Linked DNA regions of Sus scrofa. The protein of the gene in region 1 purifies or fractionates together with the protein of each later gene. This does not show direct contact. Links are inferred from orthologs where the notes say so. Each region holds a gene or a part of one and is shown in the gene's direction. Other genes may lie near its edges.

The links.
Region 2: the proteins of ASB2 (region 1) and RNF7 purify together in Homo sapiens (affinity purification with western blotting; 3 studies listed by BioGRID and IntAct, with this or other methods). This does not show direct contact. The link is inferred for Sus scrofa from reciprocal best matches to the Homo sapiens genes ASB2 and RNF7.

Annotation. Positions count from the first base shown.
Region 1 is NC_010449.5:115,206,167-115,222,520, reverse strand, and holds the end of ASB2 (ankyrin repeat and SOCS box protein 2), read left to right. Parts: intron 1-5,486; coding exon 5,487-6,051; intron 6,052-7,516; coding exon 7,517-7,670; intron 7,671-10,953; coding exon 10,954-11,021; 3' UTR 11,022-11,636; downstream 11,637-16,354. UniProt on the Homo sapiens protein: Substrate-recognition component of a SCF-like ECS (Elongin-Cullin-SOCS-box protein) E3 ubiquitin-protein ligase complex which mediates the ubiquitination and subsequent proteasomal degradation of target proteins.
Region 2 is NC_010455.5:82,545,512-82,561,965, forward strand, and holds RNF7 (RING-box protein 2), read left to right. Parts: upstream 1-2,963; 5' UTR 2,964-3,108; coding exon 3,109-3,283; intron 3,284-7,433; coding exon 7,434-7,481; intron 7,482-8,805; coding exon 8,806-8,924; 3' UTR 8,925-9,377; downstream 9,378-16,454. UniProt on the Homo sapiens protein: Catalytic component of multiple cullin-5-RING E3 ubiquitin-protein ligase complexes (ECS complexes), which mediate the ubiquitination and subsequent proteasomal degradation of target proteins.

The DNA of each region.
Region 1 (16,354 bases):
CAGCTGGCAGGGAGTTTGAAGGAATGCTGGATGTGCCCAAGGATGGTGACGGAGCTAGGCTGGCTCTCTCTGGAACCCCCTATGTGAATGGTTTATGTCCCCCCAATTCTCCTGCTGGCTCCTGAAGCCTTTCCCTGTTTATTCACCCTCAGGTCTCAGACACCATATCCCTATGTACCCTAAGACCAAGAGGGGCCCTCCGCTGTTTGAGGGCTGCCCTACAAAGGGTTAAAGCCAGGTTCCCAGCAGCTTTTGCCACCTGGCAGAGCCCACAGCCAGGCAAGTCCCCAGTGCTGCGTTCACTCCCTGGACATGTGGCCTGCGACCCACTCCACACTGTCCTCTATTGGCTGCTTGGGGACTTAATGTGACATTCCCTGGACCTTCTGCACTCAGCCACCTGCCAGGACACCCTGCCTGCTCCTGCAGCTGCTCCTGCAGCTGGTCTCAGGGTTTGCCGGGTGGTGCCCTCCCTTCGGCACATTTAACTAGAGGGCATGACCTTTGGACATGGCTGAGAATGGAGTCCCCAGGACCCCAAAAGCTTAGGCATCTCCAAGACACATTTTATTTTCCATTTCCAGTTTAGCAAAGATAACTGAAACTCAACTCCAAAGATAGAGTTATTAAGAAACTGTTTGAAAAAATAAATGGGAGTTCCCTGGTGGTCAAAGGGTTAGGATTTGGCACTTTCACTGCTGCAGCCTGTGTTTAATCCCTGGTCTGGGAACTGGGATCCCTTATCAAGCTGATGCATGCTGAGGCCAGAAGGAAAAGGAAGGAAGGAAACTGTATTAGACAAAAGCAGATACTGCAAGATTCCTTTAACCTGAATTTAGAGTAGCACTGAAACCGTGGTTCTCAACCTTGGCTACACAGCAGAACCCCAAGGGAACTCTTAAAACCTTGAGGCTTGGGCCCCACCCTCAGAGATTTCGCTGTAAGTAATCTGGGTTGGGGCTGGGGCTGCAGAATTTCTAAAAGCTGCCCAGATGATTTTACCAGACATTCCGGGAGAGAACCAGTATCTTAGGGTCGAATTTGTGGCTGACACCGTATAACACTGACCTGCGTTTGGGGCCTTACTTCGGACCCCCTCGTTTTTAAATATTCTTTCTCCTTTACTTTTTTTTGGATCTCTTTTACTTCTAATTTATATTTCCTTTGCAAGCCACTGAAAACTCTTTCTGGGAAAAGAACAAAGAGCATTTAATACATTAAATTAAAATGCATTTTATGTGGCACCTTCACAAGCAGGTTTGTATCCCCATTAATTGAAAGGGAAATTGAGGCTCAGAGCTCAGGTCCTCCCGGAAAATAGGAGGATGAGCCCCTTTATCCAACTGCATCCACTCCAGGAAACTGGTTTCGCGTTGGCCGTTGCTGGAGGAAAATGAGGAAAGTTTGCAGGAAAATCCCTCAAGGCGGGATGCGAGGCTCCCCCACCTCAGACTCCTGGGCTCCTCCCCAGACCTGCTGAATCAGAGCCTGATGGCAGAGCCGAGGAATCTGCATGTCAGGGTTCCCTCAGGAATTCTGAGGGGTGCAGGGATTGAGAGCAAGCAGTTTGCATCGTCAGCAAGCTCTGATTTCCCTCTCGGGGCCCAGGACGCCCCAGGCTCCCTTCTTCATGCACAGAGCTGCCAGCCGCTGGGGCCTGTTCTTCCCCCTTTAGGGAGGAACTGCTCACCTATTCTGGCCCCAGGGGAAGTTCCCCCAGAAGGATGTCAGTGCCCTTTACTGGCTGAAAAAAATGAGGTAATCCCCTCACCCCCAAAACACGCAGGCGCGCACACACACACACACACACACACACACACAGACATAGTACTGCCCCTGGTATTGGGAGCAAGGCCATTTGTGGGGCTGGTTCCCTTTGGACAGTCAAGTCCACAGTGAAATTTGCACTGAATGCTGACAAAGTGACCTGAGGAGCCAAAAAACCTCGGCGTTTGGTGCAGCAGGGTCAGGGAGATGCAATCATTGAGGCTGTTAAGGCTCCAACAGCACCGTGTAGGGAGGGCCAGCTCCATGCTAAGCAGCTGAACATGCAAGATTCACTCTGTCTTCAGAAGCAGCCTCACTGAAAGGCGGTATCAAACTGTGTCTTGCAACCTGGGCATGGTGATCCCACTTTGCCGGCTTATTATGGAGGGAACATGAGATGAAGTACTTGCTGATGGGATCATTTCCAGGATTAAATGAGGTAAATGTGTAAAGCATTTTGAACAGCACCTGGCCGATAGCGAGCGCTCAGCGGTATTACGGTAATTATAATTTAGGAGGGTGAACACTCACGACAATGGACAGGGGCTCAGTAAAGGGTAGCTATCACCAGTGGCATCACCATTGCTGTGATTCATTGCCCCTCTGGTATAGGTGTGATTCAGAGAGGTTCAGTGACTTGCCTGAGATGGCCCAGCCCTGAGACGCAGAGCTGGTGGTGTAACCCTGGTCCATGTGGGACCCCACGCTGCTAAGGACAGCCTGTTTTGGCTCAAAGCTCTCTTCCCTAGTCCCAGCCGCTGGGCTGGGGGTCGGGACACCAGAGCCAGAAACAGGCAGCCAGGCAGGGTAGCAGCCTTTGGGAGACTGAAGTCTGGGGTGGGGACCCAGGACCCGGAGCAAGGATGGCCTGGGACAGGGAGGATGGGATTCAGTTACTGGTGGGTCCTAGGAATGAGGCAGGGGCCCTGGGACTGGGGTCCAAGGTTGAGCTGCTGCTCTGGGCATCCTTGGAACAGCCCTAAGCTGGGTCTGCTCTGCTCTCAGAGCCTGAGCTGGTGGGTGCAGCCCCTGCTGGGGAAAGGAGCAGAGGGGGACAGGGCCTCCCAGACACCAAAGCTTCTACCAAGCAAGGGGTACCTTTGTTCTCTCCTTAGGGTGCACTTTGAGCACCCGTGGTCCCAGGCCTGCGGTGGAAGAAGTGGGAAGGTCCCAGCCTCTCTTGTGGGGTCTTCCCCTGACCCTCCTGCTCACTATCCCACCAAGTGGGCTGGGGAGAGAAATGATGACATTCAGTGGGGCCACCGGCATTCAGGGCTGGGAGTACTGGGGCACCATGGAAAGACTTGGCCTTGGATATTCTGGACACCAGCATTTTTTTTTTTTTTTTTTATTGTGCCCATGGCATGTGGACATTTCCAGGCCAGGGATTGGACCTGCGCCACAGCAGCGACCCGAGCTGCTGCAGCGACACCACCAGATCCTTAACCCATGCGCCACCAGGGAACTCCTGGACACTGGCATTCTGCCCCAGCTTTGCCATCCACCTCCAGTCCACCTCCCTCTTTCCCACCCCACACCCAGGTCTCCATTTCACCCCCTTTAAAATGGAAGGCTGGACACGCTCCTCCAGGCCCTGGCCATTGTCCCACTGCTACAGACGCGTATAGCAATTAGGTGATTTTATCGCGTTATGAAGACAGTGCCTCTGGGACTCTTGGCAGCATCCAGTCACGTTCCCACATTTCTGCCACTTTCCTTCCCTTGGTTCGGCAGGGGACTGCTGGGACCAGCTGGGACCTGCCAGTGATACCAGCCCATCTGGCCAGCGGCCCCGGGCAGTCACTCTCGCTGTTTTTCCCGTGCTTGGGCATATGTTACGGCTGTTACGGAGCATTTGTTGGCGATGGCTGCGGTCCAGGGTGAGGCCCCAGCCCTGCCTTTGACCAACACCTCTCCAGAGCGAGGTCAGGCCTCCTGGGCTGCACAAATAGAAATTAGGAGGCAATTAGCCCCCCCGGGGTGTGTGAATTTCCTTTGGAGGTTGTGGAGGCCGATTTTAGGCAAACACAGCGTCACTAACCATAATAATGCTTTCCACTGAGATCCTAACGGGAGGTCCCTGGCATCAGATTTCCAGGAAGCCAGAAGCCCCAGAATCCCAAGTGCCAAGAGGCAGAGAGGCGTGGGAACAGGCCTAGTGGCACCCATTTGCCCTGCCATGGCCACCTCCCTGGAGCCCACCCGGGGCCATGAGGTCACCTGTCAGCAGGGACTGAGTGGATTAGGGTCTGGAATCACATCAGTGGCAACAGCTTGGCAGGTGGCCGGGTCTAGGGACAGAAAGCAGACACAGGGGTCAAGGGTCCTGGGGTCAAAGCCCCAGAACTGGTTTTTGGCCTTTGATTAGTCACTTCCTCTCTCTGGCGCCCTCCGTTAAAAAGAAGCCACTCCACAGGGCCCCAGTGAAAGGCAAAGTGGGGCAGCCAAGAGAACACCGTGTGAAGAATGCGAAACCCCATGACTCGTCGCTGTCACCTGACTGCTGCACAAGAAGTAGGGGAGTGGTGTAGAGTGTGGCCCTCACCCTCGGGGGAATCAGCCTACCCGGGTTCAAATCCTGGCTCCATCAACTACTGGCTGTGTATCCTTGGGCAAGTCACATGCCCTCTCTGGGCTTCTGTTTCCTCACCTGGAAATGAGGGTAACACTATATCTACCTCACAGGGCCGTGGGGAGAATGCAGGTTGAGAGCTGAGAACAGAGCAGAGTCAGGGCTGGTGAGAATCTGCAGCCTCCGCCTCCCAGACAGGACAGAGAGCCTGGGCTAGTGTCAGCCTTCGGGCCAGGAGGCACTGAGACTCACAGGACGGGGGAGGGGACCTCGTGGTTACTGAGGGCTGACTGGGGCCTGGGGCAGGAGTGGTTGGGTCCAGATACATTTGTTCCCTCCTGTCCCGCAGGACTTGGTAGCTTCACCAGGACTCCAGGACAGCAAGATGGTTCAGTCCTGGAGTCAGAGGAGAGTATAAATCCGTTTTTTTTTTTTTTTTTTTTTTTTTCTCCCGATGTATGGCCTGGGCAAGTTCCCTAACTTCCCTGAGCATTTGATTTTTTATCAGAAAAAAAAAATGGGAATGACGAGACATACTTTCTGGGTTGTCGTAAAGATTAAAACAAACGTGTTTGTAAGGTCCTCAGAGGTCCCCTGGCACATAGGGAGCCCTTGGACACGGCTGTCTCTGCCCCTCCCCTTCCCCTTCCCCTGGGCAGGGCAGGGGCAGGGGCAGCTCCAAGCTTCGCCATGTGTTCCACTGCAGGTTGGGGGGCTTCTGCTCTGTCCCCCCAGATAAGTGAGCTGGAATGGCTGACACTCTTTAGCCTGAAACAAGTCAGCAAGCGACTCTTAAAACCACAGTCCAGTTTGGCTGAGGTTTTTAAGGATTCAGACTTTGGAGACTAAGGGATCTGGGTTTGAAGCCCAGCTCCACTCATCACCAGTTATGTGTTTTTGAGAAGGTGGTTGGTAGACGTTCTCTGAGCGTCCGTTTCCGTATGTGTAAAGCCCACTCATTCTGCCCCCAAGTGGTAACTGCGAGAACGGCTGTCTCCACGGCGCCCCCTGCTGGTGAGCCAGCGCCTCCCCCCGCCGCCGTAGCTGTGAGTGGCGGAGCCTGGCCCCCCTCCAGCGCCCCCTGCCGGCAGGCCCCACCCCAACGTGCTGGCCCCGCCTTGACCCGCGCGTGCCCGCCCGCCCTCAGGATCGTGCAGATGCTGCTGCCGGTGACCAGCCGCACGCGCGTGCGCCGTAGCGGCATCAGCCCGCTGCACCTGGCGGCCGAACGCAACAACGACGAGGTGCTCGAGGCTCTGTTGAACGCGCGCTTCGACGTGAACGCGCCGCTGGCACCCGAGCGCGCGCGCCTCTACGAGGACCGGCGCAGTTCCGCGCTCTACTTCGCGGTGGTCAACAACAACGTGTATGCCACCGAGCTGCTGCTGCTCGCCGGCGCCGACCCCAACCGCGATGTCATCAACCCCCTACTGGTGGCCATCCGCCACGGCTGCCTGCGCACCATGCAGCTGCTGCTGGACCACGGCGCCAACATCGACGCCTACATCACCACGCACCCCACCGCCTTCCCCGCCACCATCATGTTCGCCATGAAGTGCCTGTCGCTGCTCAAATTCCTCATGGACCTCGGCTGCAACGGCGAGCCCTGCTTCTCGTGCCTATACGGCAACGGCCCGCACCCGCCTCCCCCGCCGCCCTCCAACAGGTTCAATGACACGCCCGCCACGGATAAGCCGCCCGGCGTGGTCCAGGTAGGTGGGCGCGCCTGGGGGAGTGCAGCCAGGGCCAGAGCGCCCCGGAGGCGGGTGGCCCCATGGCTCACCCGTTCCGCGGGCAGTGTGGACTACACTTTGAAAGCAGCAGCAGAGGGTGGTTAATAGGGTTTAGAAGCAGGGTGGAGCAATGGTTAATGCGCTTTGGAGGGAGTGTAAACTGGTACTTGGCGCTCATTGAAGGCAGAGGAACCTAGTGGTTCCTGCAGGTTTTAGAGGCAGCAGGACTCAGTGGTTCACATGAACAATCAAATCAGGGTTTTTTGGAGGGGGGGGTTGGGGGGGTTCTGCTGCAGGGGATCAGTGGGGAACTGTGCAACACTCAGGGGTTCATCATCCCCAGCAAACCTACCCCTGGAATATGATGTTGAATGACCAGAATTGGAGTGGAGTCATGCGAGAGCAGGCTTGCATGAAGTGAGATGAGATGCAGGAAGTAAATGATTCAGGGACAGTGGCTGTCCATGTGATGACCTAAAAAGTCAGATTATGGGAGTTCCCTTCGTGGTGCAGTGGAGACAAATCTCACTAGGAACCATGAGGTTGCAGGTTTGATCCCTAGCCTCGCCCAGTGGATTAAGGATCCAGCGTTGCCACGAGCTGTGGTGTAGGTCTCAGATGCGGCTCGGACTCTGCGTTGCTGTGGCTGGGGCATAGGCTGGCAGCTGTAGCTCTAATTTGACCCCTAGCCTGGGAACCTCCACATGCTGCAGGTTCGGCCCTAAAATGCAAAAAAAAAAAAGTCAGAATGTAAAATGAAAAGAAAGTTAAAACACCCTCTCTAGGAAGTTCCCAATGAGCACAGCGAAAACGAATCTGACTAGTATCCATGAGGATTGTGGGTTCAATCCTTGGCCTCACTCCAGTGTTAACCCACTGGTTAAGGATCCAGCGTTGCTGTGAGCTGTGGTGTAGGTTGCAGACACGGCTTGGATCTGGTGTTGCTGTGGCTGTGGCGTAGCCTGGCTGCCTGCTCATGCGCCCTAAAAAAGCTAAACAAACAAAACAAACAAAAACACCCTCTCTTGGAGATACTTAGAATGGCTGATGGCCATCATTCATGGGCCGTCTACTGTGTTCAAAGAAGTTTCTGTTTATATTACCTTAATTCTCATAAAACCCCTTGAAGTTGGTATGATAGGCCCGCTTTCTGTGTGACTGACGTGCTCCCTGCTGTGCTAACGGGGCACCTTATGTGCCCCTTTTCCAGACAAGAAGGTTGAGGCTTAGGGAGGGTGTGTGCCCTGCCCCAGTTGCCCACCTCCCACTTTTGGCAGCAGAAGCCTGTGTTTTGGAGAGAAGGGTGTGCCTTGGAGACGTGGATTCTACCCCAAGCGTGCGCGGGGTCTGCCCTCCCCCTCCCAGGTCCCCAGCTGTGGGAGGAGCTTGCTGGGGCGGCACCCTTGGTCCAGGGGGTCCCAGCGCTGGGGCTGTTCTCTTCCAGTTCTGCGAGATCCTGTCTGCCCCGGAGGTGAGCCGCTGGGCGGGGCCCATCATCGACGTCCTCCTGGACTACGTGGGCAACGTGCAGCTCTGCTCGCGGCTGAAGGAGCACATCGACAGCTTCGAGGACTGGGCTGTCATCAAGGAGAAGGCAGGTAGGGCTGCTGCTGCGGCTGCTGCGGGCAGGGCACCCTGCCGGACCCAGGGCTCCGACGCCGGACATGTGACATGTGGCTGACCTTTGATGAGCACCTTTCTCACGCCAGGCTCGGTGCTGTGTGTCACACACGGTGTCACGATGGTTCCCTGTTGTGTAACTGGGGAGACGAACCCTCAGACAGACTGTCACTTGGGCAGATGTCTCCCCGCTCGTTAGTGGCAGAGCTGGGATTCAAACCTAGGGTGGACCCTCCCTGACCTCCCTTTCGCTAAGTCTTTCCAGGATGTTTTAAACAGTTCCAGCTCCCTGAGGGGTATCGGGACCTTTCGAGGAGGGTGCCCAGGTTTGTGGGCCGCTGGGAAGCCGTGTGGTGGGGAGAGGAGGCGGTGATCTGCTAGGGCATCTCACACTGCACAGTTCCTCGGCAGCACCTGAGCATCTGGTTTAAAATGCAGAGTCTACAGCTTGGGTCACTGCCGTGGCGTGGGTTTGACCTGGGCTCAAGAACTTCCACATGGCGCAGGTGCGCCCCCAACTTAAAAACTAAAATAAATAAAATGCAGGGTCTAGGAGTTCCCATTGTGGCTCAGTGGGTTAAGGACCAGACGTCGTCTCCGTGAGGATGCGCGTTCCATCCCTGGCCTCGGTGGCTTAAGGATCCGGCATTACTGCACTGTGTGGCATAGGTCACAGATGTGGCTTGGATCCGTTGCTGCCATGGCTGTGGGGTAGGCTGGCAGCTGCAGCTCCAATTAGACTCCTAGGCTGGGAGCTTCCAGTGTAGTCATAAAAAGAAAAAAAGCAGCGTCTAACTTGGCAGATTTGGGCGGAGCCTAAGAGTCTGCATTTCACACATGCTTCCAGGCAGAGTCAGTGCTGCGGCTTCACAGGCCACCCCTGGAGCAGCACTGGTCCAGGAGGCAGGCCCCCAGAGCTATGGAACCAGGGGCTTGCTGGGTGACTGTGAGCAGGACCCTTCATCTGGGCCTCAGCATCTTTGTCTGAACAGAGCAGTTTGGGCAGGCTCATCACCCAGCTCCATCCCAGCTCTGCCAGCCCAGGGTGTTTGCAGGAGGGGGGGGGGCGGTGCCTGGCACAGTGAGGTGGGGTTTGGCCACATGCAGCTGCATGCAGTGTCGGAGGGGCAGCCTGGCTAAGTCAGGCCAAGAATCCCTCTAAGGAATTATGGAGCTCACCTGGGCAGGTGAGGCGTCTGCAGTTGAGCTGGGCGCCGCAGCTGATCCTGGGCAGAGATGCCTGTCTGAGGAGCTCTAGCGACCCCAGGGCTTCCTTTGGCTCTGAGGGGCACTGTCCCATCCCTGGTCAAATGCTAGTCAATCATGTATCACAGAGGCTGACCCGCAGAAGCTTATCATGGTCCCATCACTGCCGCTGCCATCCCCAGGTCTGCCACTGCCATCCGCAGGTGGGAAGGCTGCCTCATTGCTCGTCCAAGTGCCAAACAGCCCAGTGCCCTGACTCTGACTTGCCACATTCCTCCCCTGTGAACCCAAACCTGCTGTAGCATTTTCCATGTGCCCAACTTGGGAGCCCTTGAGTTGAGGCCCTTGATAAAGTTACTGGGCTGGTGACAGGGAGGGTGGCATTGAGTTGCCCACTCACGGGAGCTCTAGACGCTCAAGAAACAGTCATTGAATTAATGAATCTTCGGATGCTGTCACTGTGATGCTGGCCACTAGAAGGTAGAATGGTCCATGCTTCGATGTCAACCCCACCCCTCCCTATCCCCTCCTTCTGGCCCTGCCTGGGGAGGGTAATTTACAACTAAACCGTCCCTGGAAAAAAGAATGCAGAACCTGTTAGTGTGCTATAAACAGTTAACAGGAAGAACAACTAGTTCTCACCTGTACGTGTTTTGGTTACTTTAAAGCCCACCCTCCATCTGCAAAACCCTTTCCTGTTTGCTCCTTCGGTTAATGCTGGGATGTTAGTGTCATTATCCCAGAGACTCCAAAGCCAGCCGGAACGCCAGCCTGGTACCCAGCGCCCTCTGCCCACCAATGGCCCTTTGCCACCCTCCGCTCATGTTCTGTCTGCACCCAGCTGCCGAAGAGGGTGAGCTTCCCAGAGGACAGATTCTGCCCTGAGTGAGATCAGAGGGCAGCGAAGTGTCAGAAATGCAGTGATGGGGAGTTCTTGGCGTGGCTAAGAAGTTAACAAACCCAACTAGCATCTATGAGGATGCGGGTTCGATCCCTGGCCTCGCTCAGTGGGTTAAGGATCTGGCGTTGCTGTGAACTGTGGTGTAGATCACAGATGTGACTTGGTACCTGCATCGCTATGGCTGTGGCGTAGGCTGGAGGCTGTAGATCTGATTGGACCCCCAGCCTGGGAACCTCCCTCTGCTGCATGTGCCCCCCTAAAAAGACAACAAAAGAAGAGAAAGGAAAAGAAATGCAGTGCTGAGGCATGTAGTGAGGCAGGGCTGCAGCCGCCTGGCCTCTCTGCAGCGCCATCTTCCTGAGTGACAGTGGCCTTGGCTTGGCACTGCCACTTCCCCTGTTTGGAATGCCCCTGACTCCCTTCCTCACCTGGCATAGTCCTACCCACCCATCAAGACCCTGCTTAGAAGCGCTATCTAGTGTGGAAACCTTTCCCCAAAGTCCCTGAGTGGGGCGCCCCTGCATCTCTGGCCCAAGATGGCACAGCAAAGGTGTCAGCATCTGGTTGTTGAACGAATGCTGGCATTCTTGATTCAACAAAACACCCACCTGTTTCCAGGGCTGAAATAAATTATGCCATTACTAGATGCCTCAGGCTCTGTTCTTAGCTCCCACTGTATGAGGCATCCCAGAGGGCATCCTGGAGGAGGCAGCCCGGTGGGATTCTGGGACCTGCGGGGAGCTGCCCAGTCCCCATCCCCTGTCCCACCCGGAGCCCAGAGCTGAATACCACCCTTGGGGGCATTTCAGAGGTGGAACCCTCTGATGCATTTGCTAAGGCTGTGGGGAGGGGCCAGTCTGGGCTGACAGAGGAAGGAGCGTGAGACAAGGGAAATGCCAGCTCTAGTCCCAGGTGTGATCCTTGCCAAGTCCTCCCCTGTGAAGCGGGTTTGGAACCCACCCTGCTACTTCCCTGGGCTGTGTAGATGAATGTGGGCTGACATCTTTCCAGTTGGCAGGGCCCGGGGTTATGGAGCACGGCAGGAGTCCAGGCGCCCCCTCTCTTTGTCAGCCACATGGGCAGGGGACCTCCCACGAGCCAGGGGTCACAGGTGCAGACAACCCACCGGCACCTCTCTTTCTCTCCTTTTCCAGAACCTCCGAGACCTCTGGCTCACCTCTGCCGGCTGCAGGTTCGAAAGGCCATTGGAAATACCGTATAAAACTCCTGGACACATTGCCACTGCCAGGCAGGCTGATAAGATACCTGAAGTACGAGAACACCCAGTAACCGGGCCACGCGGGAAGGAGCGGCTCCTCCGACGGTTCCACTGAGTCTCAGGACAGCGGTGTCCCCAAAGCTAAGGGCACCTGGTGACAGATGAGGCCGGGGGCTGCCTCCCTCTCAGCTGGGGCTGCTGCTGTGACCTCACCAGTCTCTGGGCCAGTGCTTTGCCCAGAGCGAAGACAGATGTATCAAGGAGGAGAAAACCCACATTAATTCTCATATGAATGAGATCCCAGGGCGTCTCTGCCATCGGGAATTGCAGAAAGCTGCATTCCTGGGGCCGGGGCCCCGGGGCCAGGGCAGAACTTAGGGTGGTCTGGGGAGAGCAGAGCCAGCCAGGAAGCCCTGGCCCCAACTCTGAGCTGTGGCTGGAGAACTTTCCTGGACAACCTCACTGCAGGGCCCCCATGTCCCTCCCTCTTTGCTCTGTGAAACTCTCCTCTTGACTCTGAGCTTTCTCCCCAAAGCCGTGGCCCAGGGGGTGGGGTGGGGAGACCTCAGCCCAGAGGGCTTCCTTAGGTACAATAAATGTCGCACAGATGGCGCCCTGCCCAGTGAAGTCCCTTTCACCAGACCCCTCCAGGGGCGCAGGTCCTCAGCCCTGCGCCTGGCAGGAGTGGGGGTGGGGCAGGGGCTGGGACAGGGCACCCAGACCCCTGTTTGGGATGCTTTGGCTTCTGAAAGACCCAAGAGAGCATGTCGGTTGTTAACCAGAAGAGACCCGACAGTCGGAGGAGAGGGGGCAGCTTTCCGCCCTGTGCTCAGAGCAGCCAAGGTTGCTTTTTCTCTGCTGGTTCAGTCACCATGGAAACAAGAGCTTCATCCCAAACAGGGTCTCAGAGCCTACAAGTCTCCTGGCACGTGGGCTTGTCTTACACCCGCGTCCCCTGGCAACATCTTCGCATCCTGCTCACCTGTTCTGCTGCAAAGCTGAGCTTCTGGGGGGGAAGGCATCGGCATACTGGCTACTGTGAGCCAGCGCTGGAGTCATGGCTGTGGTCAGCTGGTGCAAAGGCACCACATGTGTGAGGAATCCCTGTGCCCCCTGTGGCGTCCTTCGTTCTCATGTGGCTCTGAAGGGGGCCAAGCAGGAGCTGCCAGCCCATTTGATGGGGTGCAGGCTCAGCTCAGAGAGAGCGCATTTTCTGTGTCCGAGTCCTGCTCGCTGACACCTCCCTATTTCCACGGAGCCACAGTGACTCAGAGGCACTGTCTGCCCCAACATGATTAAAGCCACTGGCGACCCCGGCGCCACTCAGGTGACAACTGAGCAGGTGACCTTGCTGAGAGCCTGCTTCAGTCCCACCCCAGGATCTGGTAGAGGTTTAAGCAGATGTGGTTTCCGGCCCTTGGAAAGCCAGCAGCTGGGTGGGTTGTTGGAGCAATGGTCCCAGACCTGGCTCTGCCATTGGCTTGCTCCTCTGGGGCCTTGGATGCCCATGGCTGTGGCCCCTGGTGGCCTTGGGGCTCTGACACACTGGCTTCCCATGGGACCATAAGTCCCAGTGTCCTCCCGAAGAGGACAAGTTCGCTGAGTAGCATCTTCCAGCCACAGGTCAGAGGGGACTTGGCTGAGTTGTGGTTACTCCCTCCAGGTACAGGTGGGCAGACAGGCCCAGAGAGGGGAGGGGGCTTTCCTGGACACACAGAGCAAGTCCTTGGGGTTCCAGGGCCCCAGGCTGTCTTGCTGCAGAACTTCTGAAGGAAACCCGCCTCCTCCTGACTGGGGATGCTCAGCCCTGGGGCCCAGAGGAAGGGGCCGGGGAGGGCTGAGCACATAGTCAGGGGAAAACCCTGACCCGGGAACCAGAGCGGGTGGCAGTTCAATGACAGGCAGAGCAGAAAGATGTGTAGGTGCATTTGGGGTCAGGTAGACTATAGCATCCTCAGGTCACCTTATATCCTAGAGAGTCCTGACAGCCAGTGGCCACAGGTACTGGGCAGGATGGGGACGCTGGTCTGAGGCTTGCGGAGGTAGGTGGGAGGCGCGGGGAGGGAGGCTCAGCCCCTGCATTCAGCATCGCCACCATGTATCTGTAGGATGTGGGGTCCCCAGGCCTCAGAGGCACCATTGGGTTCTTAGACCATTGATGGACGTCCGTACCAGTTGGTCACAGCCACTGGTCAGGGCCCCTCCTCCCCTTCAGGGCCTGGCTTAGCCTTGGCCTTCTCAGGTCCCCGCCCCCACCTCCATTTAAGCCGACAGCTAACAGGTTAATGGTCCACCGCTGCCGGGGGTGGGTTCTCTGGTCGGTGCTCAGGCCGTGCCAGTGGTTACCTTTCTTGACCACCTCTGCTGTCAAGAGGACTTCACAGCCACCGCCCTCTGCAGCAACCCCTTCCCTAGCCCCAGCGCCCTCCTGTGCCCCCTGGCCCGGCCTGGCAGGATCTCAGCCTCAGAGGTGTCTAGACAGTATCAACCAAACACCAAAGGTCCTGAAAGTGGTTGCATTCACCAGTAGGAGCACGTTTGACCCAGTGCTGGGCTGAGCCTGAGGGTGGGAAGTGAGTTCCTGGGTTTCAGGTTGAACCAACACAGTTCATTTCTGGAGGGTTGGGGGGGGGGTCTGCTGCTGCTACTGCGGCTGCTTTTTTTTTTTTTTTTTTTTTTTTTTTTTTTTTTTTTAATAACTGAAGTTTTCCAAGTTGTGTTTTTTCCCAACTGGCTTCCACATGGGCACTCGTGGTGCTGGGCGCTTCTGTTGAGTTGCACCCTAGTAAAGACATCTGCTTCCAGACAAGGCTCCCAGAGTTTGAATTAAGGCACTGCCAGGTGTCCCCTGGGAAAGGTTGAACCCCAGTGGGGTGGTGGGGCCCAGGCGTGGTACGCTTGGGCAGCACCCCAAGAAATCATGCCTCCCAGAGCTGAGCTCTTCTCTAGAGGGTGAGGGTGGTTGGATGGTCCGGGCCCCTGTTCCCACGGGCTCTCTAGTCATCTATAAACTTCACTGAAATGTCATTGCGGAAGGACCTCCTGACACAGCCAGATAACTAGGAGAAGTGGCTTTGGGTTCGTCCAGCTTTTCATCCCTTGTGTCGTGAAGTGTCTGGCACTTACCTCCCCACAGCTACCCATGTGGCAGGTCTGTTTTCAATCACATTTTTCAGATAAGGATGTCCTGGCACAGAGAGGTTAAGTGACTTGCCAAGGTCACACAGCTAGTAGGTGGCAGGGCCGGGATTAGAGCTTTTAACCCCCTGCTGTCCAGTGTGGAGGGGCTGAGCCTCGTCAGATGCATCCAGAAGGGCTTTTGCAGGAATGTGGGAGAGGAGAGCATGCTCCTCCAGGCTCCCTGGCGGTTCTTAGGAGGCGAGGTCCCGGCTAAGGATCATCACATGAGCCAGGCAGTTGCTCAGAACACCCTCCCTGCTCTGAAGCTCCGTGGCTGAGATCATCAGACATAAACCACCAGAAAGCCACCAGCTTCCCAGTGAGCAAGCCCCGGCTCTGCCGTGGCTGCCCTCCAAACAGGCAGGGTAGCAGGGCTAAATCTGGGACCTTGTGTTCGGAAGATTCTGAGGCCCTATCTGGGCCCCAAAGGAGAGAGTCTGTGACCAGTAGATGGTACTTGCCTTGGATTCAGTAGTGATGCGTGCATCCGTTTGCTGCCCTTGACCTGGATCCCTGCTTTGCAGATCAGGAAACTGAGGCACAGAACGGGGATTAACTTGCTCAACATCCGGATGCTGATTTGGGCGCTGTGGTCCCCAACAAGGCTGGCCCCGTCTCCCCCTGAGTCGTGAGAACCGCGATTTGATGAAATGAGCAGCTCGGCACCCAGGCCAGGCCTGCACGCGCTCAGCCACGGAGCTGCGCCCCACACAGCAGAGCAGGTCCCGGACCAGTGTGCAGTGTGCGGGGGAGGCCCTTCCAGCGGCTTGGCTGGTCTGGGCACTACTGGGGCCAAACCGAGGGCCACTCCTCGCCACCGAGGCCCTCATCCCATTGACAGGGTGCCTGGTGTGCGCCAGGGTTGTTGCATCAGGCCCAGAGAGAGAGACATGGGCCGGCAACCTAGGGATCTAATTAGCTAGAGATCGTTCTTGTTGTTATTATGCCTGTGGACATAGAACCACAGACTAGGTTGATTTTATTTTTTTTTTCCATTATAGCTTATTTTTTTCCTTTTTTTTATTACTCAAATGAATTTATCACCTCTGTGGTTGTATAATGATCATAACAATCCAAAAAGGGACGAATTTGGTCAAACCAGCAGTTATTTTGTCCACAGGGGGCCCAGCTCCTGTTTGGCCTGCCCGTTCCCTCTGACCAGGGTCAGACACAACTGCCTTGGCACAGCCTCTTCTCTGAGGCTGCGAGTGGAGTGGAAGGTACCACAGAGGGCACCACTCTCATGCCACTCCTCACCCTGCTGGTGCGGCCAAGAGGCTCCGAGAGGAAGGGCCCGGCCCCACATCCCAGAGCAGGGCCAGGGGGACCGCTCCACCTCCGCTGGTACCAGTGCCCCCCATCCTGCTGAGCATTCTGGACCCTCTGAGGATCGCGGCCTCCCCCAGCCTCTGTTCTCCGCCAGGGACTCAGAGCATTGTCCCACCCGCCCTCCCCTTCCTTCCCCATCCATCCTGCGAGTTGAGCCGTTGGCCCCAGGGCTGGTTCCCACAGATCCCCGAGGTCTCTGGGCCACGCTGGCCTCCCCCGCAACCTCTGTGACGGCCCTCCACCTGGACACGGCCAGCATTTCCTAGACCTGGGGACCAGTCAACCTCAGGAACCCAAGATGTGCAAACTGCAAAAGAAACGTCTTTATTCTTTTAACCTTCTTAATATTTACAAACAACAAGAAGAACAGAACTGAGGTTGGCTTACACAGGGGGTGGCAGATGAACAGATGGGTCACTCTGGCTTCTGGGGTGGCTGGCGGGCCAGGGCAGTGCCCCGCCGCCTGAGGTCTGCACAGGCACGTGGGCGATGTGGCGGGCTCCGTTTGGGGAGGGGTCTGCTGAGCCCAGCCCCACCGCTCCAAGGTTGCAAGGGCTGGCTTGGCAACAGCCTGAGAAGCCCCTGGCCCGATCCTGCCCTCTCCCTCCCCCACACACACAAAGGGAAGGTTCTCAAGAGGCCACACCACTGCCCAGCCCACTCCTCACAAGGAGAGCCCCCTGGGGTCCCCAACACCCCCTGCAGGCCACGAGTGGGGGGCCGAGGCCCTCCCAGCCTGGCTAGAGGTAGCCAAAGACATTGAAGATGGGCGGGGGCACGGCTGGCTTGGTGGGGATGGGCTTCAGAACTACGGGTCTGTACACTTT
Region 2 (16,454 bases), on another chromosome or scaffold:
ATAATCAAATGGTGGAGGCAACCTATGGATCTATCGATGAATGAACACACACACACACACAAAAGAATATCACTTAGCCTTAAAAAGTAAGGAAATTCTGACACATGCTACATACAGCATGAAAGAACCTGGAGGACTTTATGCTATGTGAAGTAAACCAGTCACAAAAAAGACAGATATTGTACAATTCCAATTATATGAGATATTTAGAGTAGTCAAACTCAGAAACAGAAAGGAGCATGGTGGCTGGAGGGAGAAGAGGGAGATGGAGAGTTGTTTAATGGGTATACTTCCAGTTTTGGAAGGTGAAAAAGCTCTGGAAATTGGTTGATAACAATGTGAATGTGCTTGATACTACTGAATTCTACACTTTAAAATTGTTAGGATGGTAAATTTTATGTTATGTGTATTTTTACCACAATTTTAAAAATTCAAGTGAGTTGATGTGCTCTGTGTTTGTTAGTACATACAGAGCAATTTCTGGAGACTCTATTGACAGTGCTTGCTTTTTTTCCCACTGAATACTCATTTTCCTATTTTAAAGGTCTTATCACTTATGAGCTATCAATTTGTAAAAACTCAAAATTGTTTGATAATCATCAGTAACAGCACTGTTTGGTTGTTATGTGACCTAGTGCCAAAAGAGTGGAAGAAACACAATAAGCGCTATGATTTTTCTGGGAGGAATGCATAAATAGTAGCAAAGAGTGGTCAGTAAGGACACGAAAATTAGTTTTCCTCACAGCAAACGCAATGTAGTTAGAGCAGACAGAGGGAGGTTCTGACCACTTCCAGAGATGTTAAATGGAGTCGGGGGAAGAGAAGAGTCTAAGGTGTCTTTGGATGGCTGAATCAACTAATCTGATGAGGGTCTCAGAGAGGAGTGCTTGGAGATAACATTAGAAAGGTAGGTTGGGGCCATACTGTGGCAGGATTTAAAGGACCAGCTGGGACATTTAGATTTTGTTCTGATGATAATGGAGAGCCATGGAACATTTTGAGCAGGCTAGTGTCAGGTGGAAAGGGGGATCTAAGCAGATTAAACAGGCACTTTAGATTGAATGGGGAGGCCAGACAAGAAGTCAGGACACAATAAGCCAGGAACAGAGTGAAGAGGTTCAGATGAGGCATAAGCATGTACCATTCCTTGTCCCCTTCTTTTTTGGCCACACCCAGGGCATGCAGAAGGGACAGGGATTGAACATACTACAGCTGTAACCTGAGCCAGAGCAGTGACAATGCCAGGTCCTTAACCCACTGAGCCATGAGAGGGAACTCCTACCATTTCTCATTCTTAATCATCCTCTAGCCTTTCATCTGAGTTCCCTCCTTTTCTCTTTCAAACTGCCCAGTTCCCCCCAACTGGGGGCATTTTATCCTCATCTGGTTCTAGCCTTCTTTTTTAAATTAACTATCTGGCATTTATAGCATCTCTAGTCAGATGTGTGGTAGCTTAATGTGAGTAAAATGTGTGTCCTTTATGGTTCATCTGGGTTTGTTTACAGGCATTTTTGTCTGGCTCATAAACTTAGTGGGGTCAACTTTACATCTGCCACCACTACTACTGCTCTGTTCAACCTGACAGCCTTGCAGAGGTTTGCTTTCTCCACCCACTTCCGGGCCTCCGATGCCTCCCATCTTCCCCCAGTTCAAACGTCACCTCTTCCATCAGCATCTAGCCAAATGTGACCCAAATGTATCCACATTTATATTTTCACACATATATGCTTCCTTGCCTCCTCCGCCAGATTTCTGGAGCTTCTAGCCCCCATCCAGACATCAGGAGAGGAGGGGATGAGGCCCAGTAGGAAAAGGTGGGAGGCTCTGAATTCCAAACCCGACACAGCAGGTGTCCACCACTAGGTGGTAGTGGTGATCAGGCATCTTCGTGGGCTCTCCATACCACAGCTTTCTTATTTAAATAGAGATGTTATCTGCTTTGCTTGGGAAAACATAATAATATGACCCCGGGCTAGATGCAGAAGAACCCTGGATTCAAAACAGTTACCTTTAGGGAATAATGGTGTGTCTTTATCTTATTTTTCTGGACCTCAACATTCCTATCAATAAAAGGAGGATGTTGGACTAGATAGAGGTTCTCAGAGTGTGGTCCCCGGGGGTTCCTGGGATCCTTTCAGGGGAAACAAGGTCAAAAGTATTTGCATAACAATATTCACCGCTATTTCTCTTCACTTTCTCCTGTGAGTATACAGTGGAGTTTTATAAAAGCTACAAGATATGTGATATCCTTGTTCTAATGATTACTTGTAATGGGTTTATTGCTTTTCCTTGCGGGGGCGGGGGGTGGGGGCACACCTGTGGCATATGGAAGTTCCCAGGCTAGGGGCTGAATCGGATACAGCTACCAGCCTACACCACAGCTCACAACAACACCGATCCACTGAGCAAGGCCAGGGATTGAACCTGCATTCTCATGTATACTAGATACTAGTCGGGTTCCTCATCGCTTAACCACAACAGGAACTCCTATGGTTATTTTTTAAGTGAATACATTAAAATTTTTTTCGTATTTCTTAAAAAAAAAGTGTGTGTTTGTGTGTACACATATTTTACAAACCGAAAGTTCTTTAATGTTCCAGTGATTCTTAAGTGTAAAGGGGTGCCAAGACCAAAAAGTTTGAGAACGGCTGAACCAGATTTCTAAAAGATAGTCATTCATTCACTCAACAAATAACTACCCCTCCTGAGGCCAGGCATTTTTCACATACCCAGGAGAAGGTGGTGATCAAGTCACGTCCTCGCTCCGATGGCGTTTTCATTTAGGAAGGGAGTACATCAATATGACAACTTGTGAGAGCCAGAAGGGTCACGAAGGCATAAAGCAGAACACCTGCTTCCTGCACCGGCAACCCTCCTGAGCGCGGCGCCCATTCTTGGCCAAAGAGTCGGAGCGGGCCGGGCCCAGGGCGCGGGGGCGGTGACGTCACTGGGACGCGCCAGCCAGTCTCGGGCGGCCTCCGTCGTAGGCCCCACGGTGGCCCGCAGCCTGCGGGCGGCGCTGTGGCCCGGCGAGGGGCCCCAGGGAGCCGCCATAGTCGCCCGCCTTCCGCAACCTAACGTCTCCGCCGCCGGCTTCGCGCCGCCGCCATGGCAGACGTGGAAGACGGCGAGGAGCCCTGCGCCCTGTCCTCTCACTCCGGTAGCTCAGGAACCAAGTCGGGAGGCGACAAGATGTTCTCTCTGAAGAAGTGGAACGCGGTGGCCATGTGGAGCTGGGACGTGGAGTGCGATACGTGCGCCATCTGCAGGGTCCAGGTGATGGGTAAGCGCTGCACTCGAGACCCTGGCTGTGCTGCGGCCTCCGCGGGCCCAGCTCCGGCCCGTGGGACACACCGAGCCTCGGAGAGACTGTTCCTGGAGGTATAGGGGCGGGGTCGCCCTGCCTGGGAGCGAAAGACTGGGGCCACGCCCGTGCTGCTGCTAGTCGGAGGGCTGCGGCCGGCGACGGGGACTGGTAGTCTGGGGAACGAAACAGGTGGAAAGCAGGGCAGTTAAAAAGGTAATTTCAGGTAGTGATGGGTGTGGTCAAGACAATAAAAGTAGGTGAGTTGATGGGAGCTGCGAGGCACCACTTTGGTTTGTGGGCCCAACCTCGCCACCCTTTTCTAAAAGCAAACTGTAGAGGTCACGGTCAAGGCCCTGAGTCAGCGGGTCGTTTTAATGCTTCTTTTCACACACCAGAGTGATGCTCTGGAGTCATCTTCCACAGTAATGACTCTTAGTCTTGTTCCGGAGAGGCGCAGGAAAGAAGTGTCCCTAGCTGTTGCCTTTCGGGATTAGCTACTGTTCTGCTGGCTTTAAAACTTGGATGATTCAAGACTGGTCAGATGGCAGTAGCTTGTCTTGAAGAAGAATGTTAAGCCCTTTATTCAGAAACATAAATTTTAATCTCATTCCTGGCCCTACGCTATCAAAGGATGCCATTTCCTGGAGAAGACAGTGTCCTGATAGGCCTTTGTGGAGAATTTTCTTTTACAAATAAGTCACTTCTTTCTATAAATTTTTTTAAAAATATTGGACCAAGTGAAACCTTTCGGGACAGCTTCATCCTGTTATATTTTATATGGTTTCTGTTCTAAGATCTCAGAACACCTTGAAAAAGAGATGCTGTTTAAATGCATCCTTATTTTTTTTAATAGGGCATTTAAAATCACTGTGAGAGCATCTTAAATGAAACCGAGGTTTCTATAGTTTGAAAGCTTTTACATCTTAAACCGAAAAATCAGAGTTTTGGAGAAAATAACTCAAAAATTGCTCTCAAATCAACTATAAGGAGTTCCCTTCGTGGCGCAGCAGAAATGAATCCGACTAGGAACCAAATCAACTATAAAAGAAAAAATAAAATCTAAAAAAAAAAAAAAAATCACTCTCCCTTCTTGAGGAATGAAAATTCAGAACTGCCAGAATCAAGAGGTTTCTTCATTTACCCTCTCTGTAGTATGTTTTCTTGTTTTTTATTCATAAAATAAGGACTCATTTTAAAAGCAGATTTACAACAATGAGATATCATATATTTATTTTTTTACTTTTAAAAGAATTTTATTTCAGACATGATCCACGTGTTTTGCATATTAGGTTTTAAAAATACCTTGTTTATTGGCCTGCAATACAGCCCCCTTACCCTACTCCTTACTTAAAAACTGAAATCATAATTTCTGCTTTGAGTGGCATTTTTGACTTATCCAAACAATTTTTGTTCTTTTATGAGAAAAAACTTTGTTAAAAATTTTATCCCCTAAGTGATTAAAAAAAGAGGTTTTTCTGAAAGGTTATTTTCTTCTTCTCCCCAGGGAAAAATTTTAAATTTGTAAATAGAAATGCAGAGTTTTAAATAATGGTTGAAATTTGGCAGCAAATAAACCTTCCTGGTCAAAGTATGGGCTCTAAATGACTTAACAGGCACATTAACTTTCTAATTATAGCAAGTATTCCGCTACTGTGGATTAATGTTGCAGATTTACAACAGCTGTACTTTGGATTCAGGAAAGTATTCTGGACTAGACCTCTATATTTTGATTATAAGGTGTTAAAATCCACTTAGTGGTCAGGTGACGGCAGAAGGAAGTTTTATAGACTTGCCAATCCTTAGGGTAGCGTCATTCTTAAAGGTGTTACTGTTATTGTACTCCTTAGAAATGTGCTGTTTTAGATATTAGGAATATCACCAAAGGAAAAATGTTTTCTTTTATCTGAAACTTTAGGAATTTTTATACATTTAGGTCAGTTGTTTTTTTTTTAAATAATTAAATCAAAGCTATAAGCATAATTCAGAGATTTTTAGATTCTACAAAGAGCCTATCTAATCCCACTTCCTTAATATTTGGAATTCAGAATTCATCTCATACATCTAAATGATTTGTTATGACTTCTTTTTTAAAAAAATTTATTGTAGTTGATTAAAAGTGTTTCAGGTGTACAGCAAAGTGATTCAAATACACACACACACACACTTTTTTTTTCAGATTCTTTTCCATTGTAGGTTATTTCAAAATTTTTATGACTTCTTGATCTAAGATTTACCTGTCCACCCATTCTGATGTAGTTAACACTTCCTTGTTTCCACTCTTCCCCACCCCCACCCCCTTCATTCTGAAAGGAGCAAATGACACAGTGAGCAAGCACTGACAAGGAAAAGGGGAATAGGTTTGCTAGTACTGTAGAGGTATAAAGAGCGAGAGCTGGAGTTCCCGTTGTGGCTCAGTGGTTAACGAATCTGACTAGGAACCATGAGGTTCGATCCCTGGCCTTGCTCAATGGGTTAAGGATCCAGTGTTGCTATGAGCTGTGGTGTAGGTCACAGATGCGGCTCGGATCCCGAGTTGCTGTGGCTCTGGTGTAGGCCAGTGGCTGCAGCTCCGATTAGACCCCTAGCCTGGGAACCTCCGTATTACACGGGAGCAACCCTAGAAAAGGTAAAAAAGACCAAAAAAAAAAAAAAACCGAGAGCTGCATGTTAACTGGGACATTTGACATAACCTTTTGGAGCCTTGTTTTCCCAATTTGTAAAAAAGGCAATTGGGGTCATTAACTGTAATTCTCTGATTGCACAGAATCAGGGCCTTGTCTTCACCCTGATATCATGATCCTTATATGTAGTTGTTTGCCTCTCTACCTCCCCATTTGCTGGTGAGAGCAGGGATCCAGACTCGATCATTTTGGTGTCCTGAGGGCATAACTCTTTGCACAGAGGAAATACTCAGTAATTGTGGAATTGAAGAAGTCGTCAGGAGATGTTGGTTGTTTGTAATCCACACTGAAGAGGCCAGGGTGGTGTGGTTTTTTAAGGGAAGACCATGCAGAGTGGTGCAAACAAATGCCTGAGCAAAATCTAATGTAAGAAGAGAAGCAGGCTTCAACTCCACTATTTCTATTTTTACAGAATTATTTTTCTCCAATTTATGTTTAAAACTTATTTTTTCTGTTGGTTTAAACTTCCTTTTACCCAGGTTTGACTCCTTTCAGCTAGTGAATGAATCCATTTAATTGGTTCTTACAATATTCTTTATTACCTCCATCAAGCAATTAATACTGACTGAATTTTGAAAACTTGTAGTATGCCCTTTTGTTCCCACTCCTCATATTTACTCCCAAGTAATTTATTAAAATACTTTACCATTAGGTAAATGCTTTGGCCTCAGACATATTTGTAAAGGGAGCATTTCCTTAAAAACTAAAAAAAGAGAACTAGGTATTTGGGAGTTTTTTTACATTTAATTTTCATATAGCATATAAAGGAGTTCCCACTCTGGCACAGTGGGTTAAGGATCTGGCATTGCCACAGCTGTAGGTCACAGCTGCAGCTTGGATTTGATCCCTGCCTTGGGAACTTCCATATGTTGCCAGTGCGGCCAAAAAAAAAAGACATAAGCTTATACAGTCACATAATTTAAAAATCTGAGAAAATATACAATTAAAAGTCCTTCCCATTTTATCCCTTCCCAGATAAACTTTATTATTAGTTTCTTGAGTATCCTTCTAGACTTTCTATGTATTTGTAAACAAATACCAGTATATATGTGTGGTTTCTTTAAAAGAATGTCTGGAAAATATACTACCCATGAGATTGATCTGTGTGAGCATGCCCAGTGAGCGTGTAACAACTCCTAATATAGTGGAGTATGGTGTATTTTTCTCTGGTGGTTTCATCCACTGTCAGGACATCTTTTCATCAGAATTTGTAAAAATAGAGGGTCAATAACCCTTGTGAAATTGCTCCTGGTCATAAGTAAATTAGTAGAGTTCCTTGCACTTTATTCATCTTTAAGCAGTTATGTTCGAATGAGAAAGTAATAATATGAGTCCTTTAATCTTCATCTATAACCCTTTGGGCCTTTATTTGACTTTGAAGTGTATGGGTTTTAAAAATTGCATTCAGAGCATCAGAATGAGAATTGCTATTTGTTTACTTTTAGATGCCTGTCTTAGATGTCAAGCTGAAAACAAACAGGAGGATTGTGTTGGTATGTTGTAATTTTGTTCTCTTCCTTTTTCAACTGAAGATTTTCTCTCAGTGGGGATGTTTGAATTTGCTATTAAGATTGACTTTATCAATACATAAAATAAACTGTAAAGCAGTAATCCATTATTAATATAAAGTGTGTTGGTTCTCAAAGGGCCAGTTCTCAAATGGAATTAATCTTTAAGTCCTTTAGTTGCTTGTAATTAAGAATTGGTTATATATTCTAGACACAGGTGTGATAAACGTTTTGATAATCACAAAAGAAATAATTGCCTTTTATTAAGAATAGTATAAAGTAAGAAATTTGTCAAAATATCTTTTAAATTTTGAGTATGTTACAGGTCAGTTTTTATCAGTCAGGATTATATTCTAATACAGCATTTCAATATTCAATACTCTTATGATCCAGTATTTTAACTTTTCTACTAAGGTAGAAACTATTCTCAAGATTTTTTTGGAATGTAGTTTACAGATAAAAATCTGTTAAATTTTACTAGAGAAGTTGTTTTAGGCTAAGTATTTTAAGTAGTTCAAAGGTTTTTATGTCTAGGTTCTTTAGGTTATCACTTCTAGATTGCTATATAAAAGTGTTAAAGATTTTCCTGGAATAGAAGGTTAACTTTGTACTTTGTGTTAGTATGGCTTACCTGCAGCTTATTAATGATTTGTGTAATTTTGACCAAACCCTGTTTCTTCCTCCCAAAAGACCTAAAATGAGTCCCCCTTGCTTCCTACCCCTACAGCCAATTTGCATAAGGATTTTTTCTTTTTCTTTTTCTTTTTTTCCAGTTTCTTTCATTGTTCTGTTATAGCTCAGTTGGTCAAGCAAGGAGCAAACAAAGCCCATGTTTGAGATTGTGTTCCAGATTATGGGTGGTTTTTTTCTCTGTTTAAAATAGCCTACTGTGAACTGAAAACATTTAAAATTCGTTATATCTTGGTGAATAAAAATCAGGAAGACATTTTTCAATAAAATAAAGCCCAAAATGTCTCTGAGGTCAGTGTATGACTGAGATGGTATGAGATCTAAGGAAAACTTAAGTTTTTAATCTTGTAATTTGAGAAGGACAGCATGTGGAGCTATGTAGGAACTGCATCACCCACAGATTCTGAAATGATGGAAAGTTCCCAAACACAGTGCCTTCTCTCATTTCTTAAGTGTGATTTAAGAAAGTTTCTATTTCTTCTTTTGACCAGCTAACCGCCTTTATTCAAGATTATGAACCATAATTATTATACAATATAAAATAAGATAGAATTTTGAGCTCAGTAATTTAAATTAAAATATGTTGTCAGATATTCTTTTTTTCTTCTTCTTCTTTTAGTGGTCTGGGGAGAATGTAATCATTCCTTCCACAACTGCTGCATGTCCCTGTGGGTGAAACAGAACAATCGCTGCCCTCTCTGCCAGCAGGACTGGGTGGTCCAAAGAATCGGCAAATGAGAGCGGTGGAAGGTATTCTTCATGCAGTTGTGTGGAGCCCTGGGGATTCTTGTTATCAAGTGCTCTACCAAGGCTAGAACTCTCCAAGGGGACTAATTCTTCTAATAGGAGGCAATGGATCTGTGGTCCCTGGGACTCATCAAAGGCATGGTTTAGTCTTTTTCAGTTTTTTTTCGGAGAGGAGGTGTTGTTTTCAGAAATGCTCTACAATTAAGAAGATAATTTATTAAAAATGGTCTTTCCTACCTCTATGGTATGTGTCTCACACACTGCTTAGAAGTACTATAAAAGAGAGAGCTACAAATTGAACAGCCTTTATAGTTTACTTACTTATATCCAAGGGGCTATGGAAGCAGTTCCATTGAGAAGTGGACTTTTTGCATGCTTATGGTTGATCAGTTTTTTAAGAAAGATAATGTTATAGTAACAAATAAAGTGCAGTTTAAAACCCGACTCTTACCCTTAATCTGTTCCTAATATTTATTTTTGGCAGGAAGGAAATGATTCATGAAATCTTTATTTGATATAATGAGAATTTTTAAGTTTGGACCAGTGAATAGGGTAAATAAAATTTAACCTTTAGTGTGTAGGATTTCAATTGTCTTTGAGTTTATCATCCTTTATCTTTGACTCATCAAGAAAACCATAGATCGGAGTTCCTGTCATGGCTCAGTGGAAAGAAATCCGACTAGGAACCACAAGGTCGTGGGTTCAATCCCTGGCCATGCTCAGTGGGTTAAGGATCTGGCATTGCTGTGAGCTGTGGTGTAGGTCACAGACGCAGCTCGGATCTGGTGTGGCTGTGGCTATGGCATAGGCCGGCAGCTGTAGCTCTGATTAGACCCCTAGCCTGGGAACCTCCATATGGTGTGAATGAAGCCCTAAAAAGCAGAAAAGAAAAAGAAAAAAAAGAAAACCTAGATCATTGTTCAGTCATTGAGTGGTAAAGGACAGAAGTATTTTCAATTCTGGTCATGTTGTTTTGTGATTTACCTGTTTTAAGTGGAATATTAATGAGGGGAAATATTTACCATTATAGCATTGGGTCAGAAAGTTTGTTATCACAGTGTTTTAATAAATGATTTATTCTGTTTGCCTTATTTGAATTGTTTTATTACAAGTTTATGCACAACCTTCAGCTTAATATTTATAAACTAATTTGTTTATTGAGTGAATGATTTTGCTTAATTTGAAGAAATATTCATTTACTCTTTCGTTGATAATAAAATTTTAACTTTATTGGCTGGAAACATAACTGTAAGAAAATACTTAAATTTTATCAAACCAACTCACATTCAGTGGAAGTTATCTTAGAAGAATTTATGGACCACAAGTTCATTTTTAATTTTTCTTTAATAGAGCCTACTGCTTATGTATTTAAAAAATTAAGATTTCGGGAGTTCCTCTTGTGGCTCAGCTGGTTAAGAATATGACTAGTATCCGTAAGGATGCATGTTCAATCCCTGGCCTTGCTATGTGGGTTAAGGATCCAGCATTGTGATGAGCTATGGTATAGGTCACAGACTCAGCTCAGATCCTGAGTTGCTGTGGCTGTGGTGTAGGCCAGCGGCTACAGCTCCAATTGGACCCCTAGCCTGGGAACTTCCATATGCTACAGGTGTGGCCCTAAAAAGAAAAAAAAAAAAACTTAAAATCTTAACCATTCACCTTCATAATTTCTGAGTTTGCCAATCTGAATCATTTTTAAATCTAAGGCATGAAGATACATAAAAGAATATTAAAAACATAATAAAATAAAATTAGAATTCTGTATGCATTTACCTTGGCTACTATTTATCAACCAAATTTCTTATAAATTTTTGCTTTATCTTTTTTCACAATTTACTGAAAGAATTAATTACAATATACAGATACATTTGACCATTTGAATGTGCTTCTTCTGCAGTAAACTATTTTAGCAGCTCTTTGACCTTTTTAAAAGCTTGTGTCTGTAAAATGTGAACCAAATATTTGGCTTTATAGTAAAGAGAGAAATAGTAAGAATGTTAAGTAATTTTAGTCAGTACGATGGTATGTAAATGAAACGTGGAGGATGGTGGCAATAAGTTGATTTTTCCATATACCAAAACCACAGGCCCACCACCTAACAAAGCTCTGTTTCTGTTACACATCAGCATCTGAGGGTAGAAGAGGAGGAGGGACTGGGACAAAGCTGCACTGATCCTACCCGTCCAGGGATGATATCAGCTCATCTGCATAGCCATCTGAAAGTTTAGTACATGCTGTCTCATCAGAAAAGAACACTCTGTGACATTTATGAGTTCCAATGCAAAAGTTAAGCATTGAACAGATTTTCCTTAACATTTGATTAAAACAGTGTTAAACTTTACTTCACTAATCTATTGGAAACAGACATTTGTCATCTTCAGCTATATTTTCCATCTGCGTAAGTTACATTCTTGTAGTACAGCTGACATCTAAGTAAATCTCACCGGCCAAACTCATCACATCTTTTTTATTAAAAATATGTCCCCTTGGAGTTCCCGTTGTGGCGCAGCAGAAACAAATCCAACTAGGAACCATGAGGTTTCAGGTTCAATCCCTGGCCTCGCTCCTGGGTTAAGGATCCAGTGTTGCCATGTGTAGGTCACAGACAAGGCTTGGATCTGGTGTGGCTGTGGCGTAGGCCAGCGGCTGCAGCTCCAGTTAGACCCCTAGCCTGGGAATCTCCAAATGCTACGGATGTGGCCCTAAAAAAACAAAAAGACCAAAAAAAAATATGTCTTTATTATCCTGAAATGAAGTTCATAAATATGTCTCCACACATAATTAAAGTGTATATACTACTAACTTAATTGTAATATAAAGTAGATAAGTGGATATAATTCATTTCTATTTCAGTATGTAAGTGCTTAGACGCAATTACACCAGGAGACACAATGAAGTCCCCTGATGAGTGTGGGAATGTGGTGTGTATAATCATTACAAGAAGACAGCAACAGTATAACCTTGAAACAGCAACAGTGTAACCACAAGGTTGCTGCATTCCATCCCTGTCCTGGCTTAGTCGGTCAGGGATCCTGTGTTGCTGTGGCCATGGTGTAGGCCCGTGGCTGTAGCTCCGATTCAACCTTTGGTCTGGGAACTTCCATATGCCATGGGTACAGCCCTAAAAAGCAGAAAAAAGAAAACTCATATTTCCAAAACATGCCCTTTAGAGGTTGCATTGGCTGAGCGGTGGGGGATGGTTTTAAGCGCTTGTATAGGCAATTATAACATATACTTTGCTTCTGCTGTCTCCAGAGGAAAATCCTGAAATGACACACAAAATAATTTTTTTCAGATATAAGAGGTTCAGAATTGTGAAGAGCTGCTATCCTAAAAAGAATTCATAGAGCCAAATCTTAGTGATCTGGGCCCTCTTCTCTAAAGGTATGAACAGCTCTTACATTAGTGTTTAATAGCTGGAACACACATGTGATGGTCAATATTCACTTAACAGTCTTCTAGACTTAAAGAATAAGCCTAAACTTGTTCCATTTAACTGAAGCTAAAAGGCTTTGGAATCAGAAAAAAAAAAATTTTTTTTTAAGTGTTCCTTTAGAAGTTTAGTAGACATCTGATAAGAAAGGTAACTATTAAAAAAATGCTTTGTTGCTTTTTTAGCATATTGCCAAGGGCTAACTTTGGGTAATAGTCAGAAAAGAAAATGAAAATATTTCCATGTTTACTTTAGTAAGCCCTTGTTTAAAAAAACATTTAAGGAAAATGTTGCTGATTTTGATATAAAGAAAATTGGAATTAAAGTACAAATAATCGTTTTTTTGTTTTTTTGTTTTTTTTTGTCTTTTGTCTTTTGTTGTTGTTGCTATTTCTTGGGCCGCTCCCGCGGCATATGGAGGTTCCCAGGCTAGGGGTTGAATCGGAGCTGTAGCCACCGGCCTACGCCAGAGCCACAGCAACGCTGGATCCGAGCCGCGTCTGCAACCTACACCACAGCTCACGGCAACGCCGGATCGTTAACCCACTGAGCAAGGGCAGGGACCGAACCCACAACCTCATGGTTCCTAATCGGATTCGTTAACCACTGCGCCACGACGGTAACTCCTTTTTTTTTTTTTTTTTTTTTTTTTGTCTTTTGTCTTAAATAATTGTTAAGCCATTTTATATTAGACAGTTGAGTGATGTAACAAAATACATGAGAAATGCTTACATGACAGTTCTTTTTTTTTTTTTTTGTCTTTTTTCTAGGGCCGCTCCTACAGCATATGGAGGTTTCCAGGCTAGGGGTCTAACCGGAGCTGTAGCTGTCAGTCTATGCCAGGGCCACAGCAACACAGGATCTGAGCCGCATCTGTGACCTACACCACAGCTGCCAGCAACGCCGGATCCTTAACCCACTGAGCGAGGCCAGGGATTGAACCCGAAACCTCATGGTTCCTAGTCAGAGTCATTTCTGCTGTGCCACAGTGGGAACTCCAATACTCTGCATTTTGATACTCAGCTTAGAGGCTGAAAGCTGAGACTCTAGTGCCAGAATACCTGGATTTGCATCCTAGTGCCACCATTTATTTGTGTGACCTTGAGCAAGTAACTTTGCCCCTCTATACCTGAGTTTCCTTAACAATACCTACCTCATGAGATTGTTTTGAGGATTGAAGACAAAATGGTTTAATACACATGTAAAACTGAGTACAGTTTCTAGCACGTGGCAAGTGGTATTTTGTTACATCATTTTAGTAAGTTTTGGAAGCTCCTTTAATAGAAGTAGCACTTTAATGTGTTTTTAATTATGGGGAAAAGCACTCCTAACTGTTCTCAATAAAAATTCTGTAAGGAAAATTAGTTGTAAACCTGTTGGCTGCAGGCAGGCTTTCCCTGAGTGACAATAGCCATGAACTAGCAGAGTAGCTAAGATGGCAATTCTAAGCCACTCAGCCTGGCTTGGAACCTCAACTCCATCTGCATGATCTTGCATTTGTGCAAGATCCTTAACTTCTCTGTGCCTATTTCCACAACTAAAATAGGATAACAATATTATCTATCTCATAGAGCTGCCATGATGATTAAATTAACCAGCACATGTTAACTGTTTAGAACAATGCTTGAAACAGATTATGCACTCAATAAATGGTAGTCATTATTATAGATCAGTACTGCCACTGCTCATCTCTGTCTTAATTAGAGGATGGTCTTTAAGAAAGGTATATAGTTTGCATTGGCACTTCTTGTAAGAATTGTGTTTGTGTGCACCCAGAACCTGTGAAGAACTGTCAACATAGGTTTTTAGGAAAATCATTTTCAACCTTCTTTTTTAAACACCTCAACACATCTGAAAAGTACATTTCCATCAGCAACAATGGGCTCGGCCCAGAGTGACTCCCAAAAGTGTGTGTGTAGCAAAAGGGGCAGGGAGGAGAGTTAGAAAAAACTGCCCAGGAGTTCCCATCATGGCTCAGTGATTAACAAATCTGACTAGGAACCATGAGGTTGCAGGTTTGATCCCTGGCCTTGCTCAGTGGGTGAAGGATCTGGCTTTGCCATGAGCTGTGGTTTAGGTTGCAGATGCAGGTCTGATCACACGTTGCTGTGGCTCTGGCGTAGGCCAGCGGCCGCAGCTCCTATTAGACCCCTAGTCTGGTAACCTCCATATGCCACGGGAGTGGCCCTAGAAAAGGCAAAAAGACAAAGAAGAAGAAAAAACTGCCCAGATGAAAATCTCAGTTAAAAACTTTTGGCACTATTTTAGGACAGATGAAATAGTCTATGCCGGTTCCATTTTATCCTAGCCTCTAAGGAGATGCCTACCAACAATCTAAATTTATTGGGATTTTTTATAGAAAATGCAACTAAGTTCTTTGTACTAAAATTTTAATGTAATAGAATAATCAGAATTCTTACCAAACTACCAGGGGTGTGACTTTATAAATACAAAAAATACATAGGGTAGATCAAGCTTTCCATGGTTGTTATAATGTAATTGTCATCTACCTCTTGAGTGGTGATTCTTAAACACACCCCCCCCCTTTTTTTGTCTTTTTAGGCCGCACCCACAGCATATGGAAGTTCCCAAGCTAGGGTTCAAATCAGAGCTGCAGCTACTAGCCCCAGCCACAGCAATGTCAGATCCAAGTGTATCTGCAACCTACACCACAGCTCGCAGCAATGCTGGATCCTTTAACCCTCTGAGCAAGGGCAGGGATCAAACCCACATCCTCATGGGTGCTAGTCAGATTCTTAACCTGCTGAGCTACAACAGAAACTGATAGACCTTCATTTTATTTTATTTTATATCACTTTATTATTACTATTTTGTCTTTTTAGGGCCACACGCATGGCACATGGAAGTTCCCAGGCTAGGGGTCGAATAGGAGTTAGAGCTGCCGACCTACACCTCAGCTATAGCAATGCAGGATCTGAACCGAGCCTTCGACCTACATCACAGCTCACGGCAACACTGGATCCTTAACCCACTGAGCAAGGCCAGGGATCGAACCCAAGTCCTCCTGGATACTAGTTGGGTTGTTACCCCTGAGCCACCATGAGAATTCCTATACCTTCATTTTAAATTAATGCCTGCCATGCCAACTCCTGTTCTTTTATAGAAATTATATATTTATAATAAAATTTTATTAACTCTTGCTTGCCATAACAATAGAAAGAATTTGAATACAAATAAATTTTCTACCTTCAGAGCCAGCAGGGGCTGTTAGGGAATGTTAGATTTACAACAGGACTGTGAAGTGGACTGTGGTGAGCCTTCTCAGAGATATGCAATGCTTTGGGAAATAGAAGGGAAAGAGCACATTCACTTGAAGCAATATAGTACAGCCAGCCCTCTGCATCTTAGGCTTCTGCATTGAGGATTCAACCAACCTGTCAAAAGTATCCTCCAGGGGAAAACAAAGTTACAGAAAATTCAAAAAATCAAAACTTGGATTTGTCCCACACTGGAGACCACTTACAAAGTTTTACATTGTATTTGGTAGCATAGGTAATCTAGAGATAGTGATTATAAGGATGGGGAGAATGTATATAGGTTATATGAAAATACCAGACCATTCTCTATAAAGGACGTGAGCATCCTCAGATTTTGGTCTGACAAGGGTCCTGGAACCAGTCCTCCGCCTATACTGAGGGATGATTATATGATTATGAGGATCATTTCTCTTTGCAGATATGAAAACCAATTTCTATTTAATCTTAACAGTATGTGGTCTGTATGAGTTCCCTAGCATTTTGGGGGAGGAAAGGTACATCCTCCAAAAATGTAATTCGAAAAGACACATGACCCAAAAGACACAGCAGCACTATTCACAAGAGCCAAGATTTGGAAATAACCCAAGGGCCCATGGAATATTACGCAGTCATAAAAAGAACAGATGCCATTTTGCAGCAACCTGGATAGAACTAGAGATTACCATACTAAGTGAAGTAAGTTTGACAGAGAAAGACAAATACCATATGATATCACCTATAGGAGGAATCTAAAATATGACACAGATGAACTTTTATGAAACAGAAACATTCACAGACATGCAGAACAGACTTGTGGTTCCCAACAGGGAA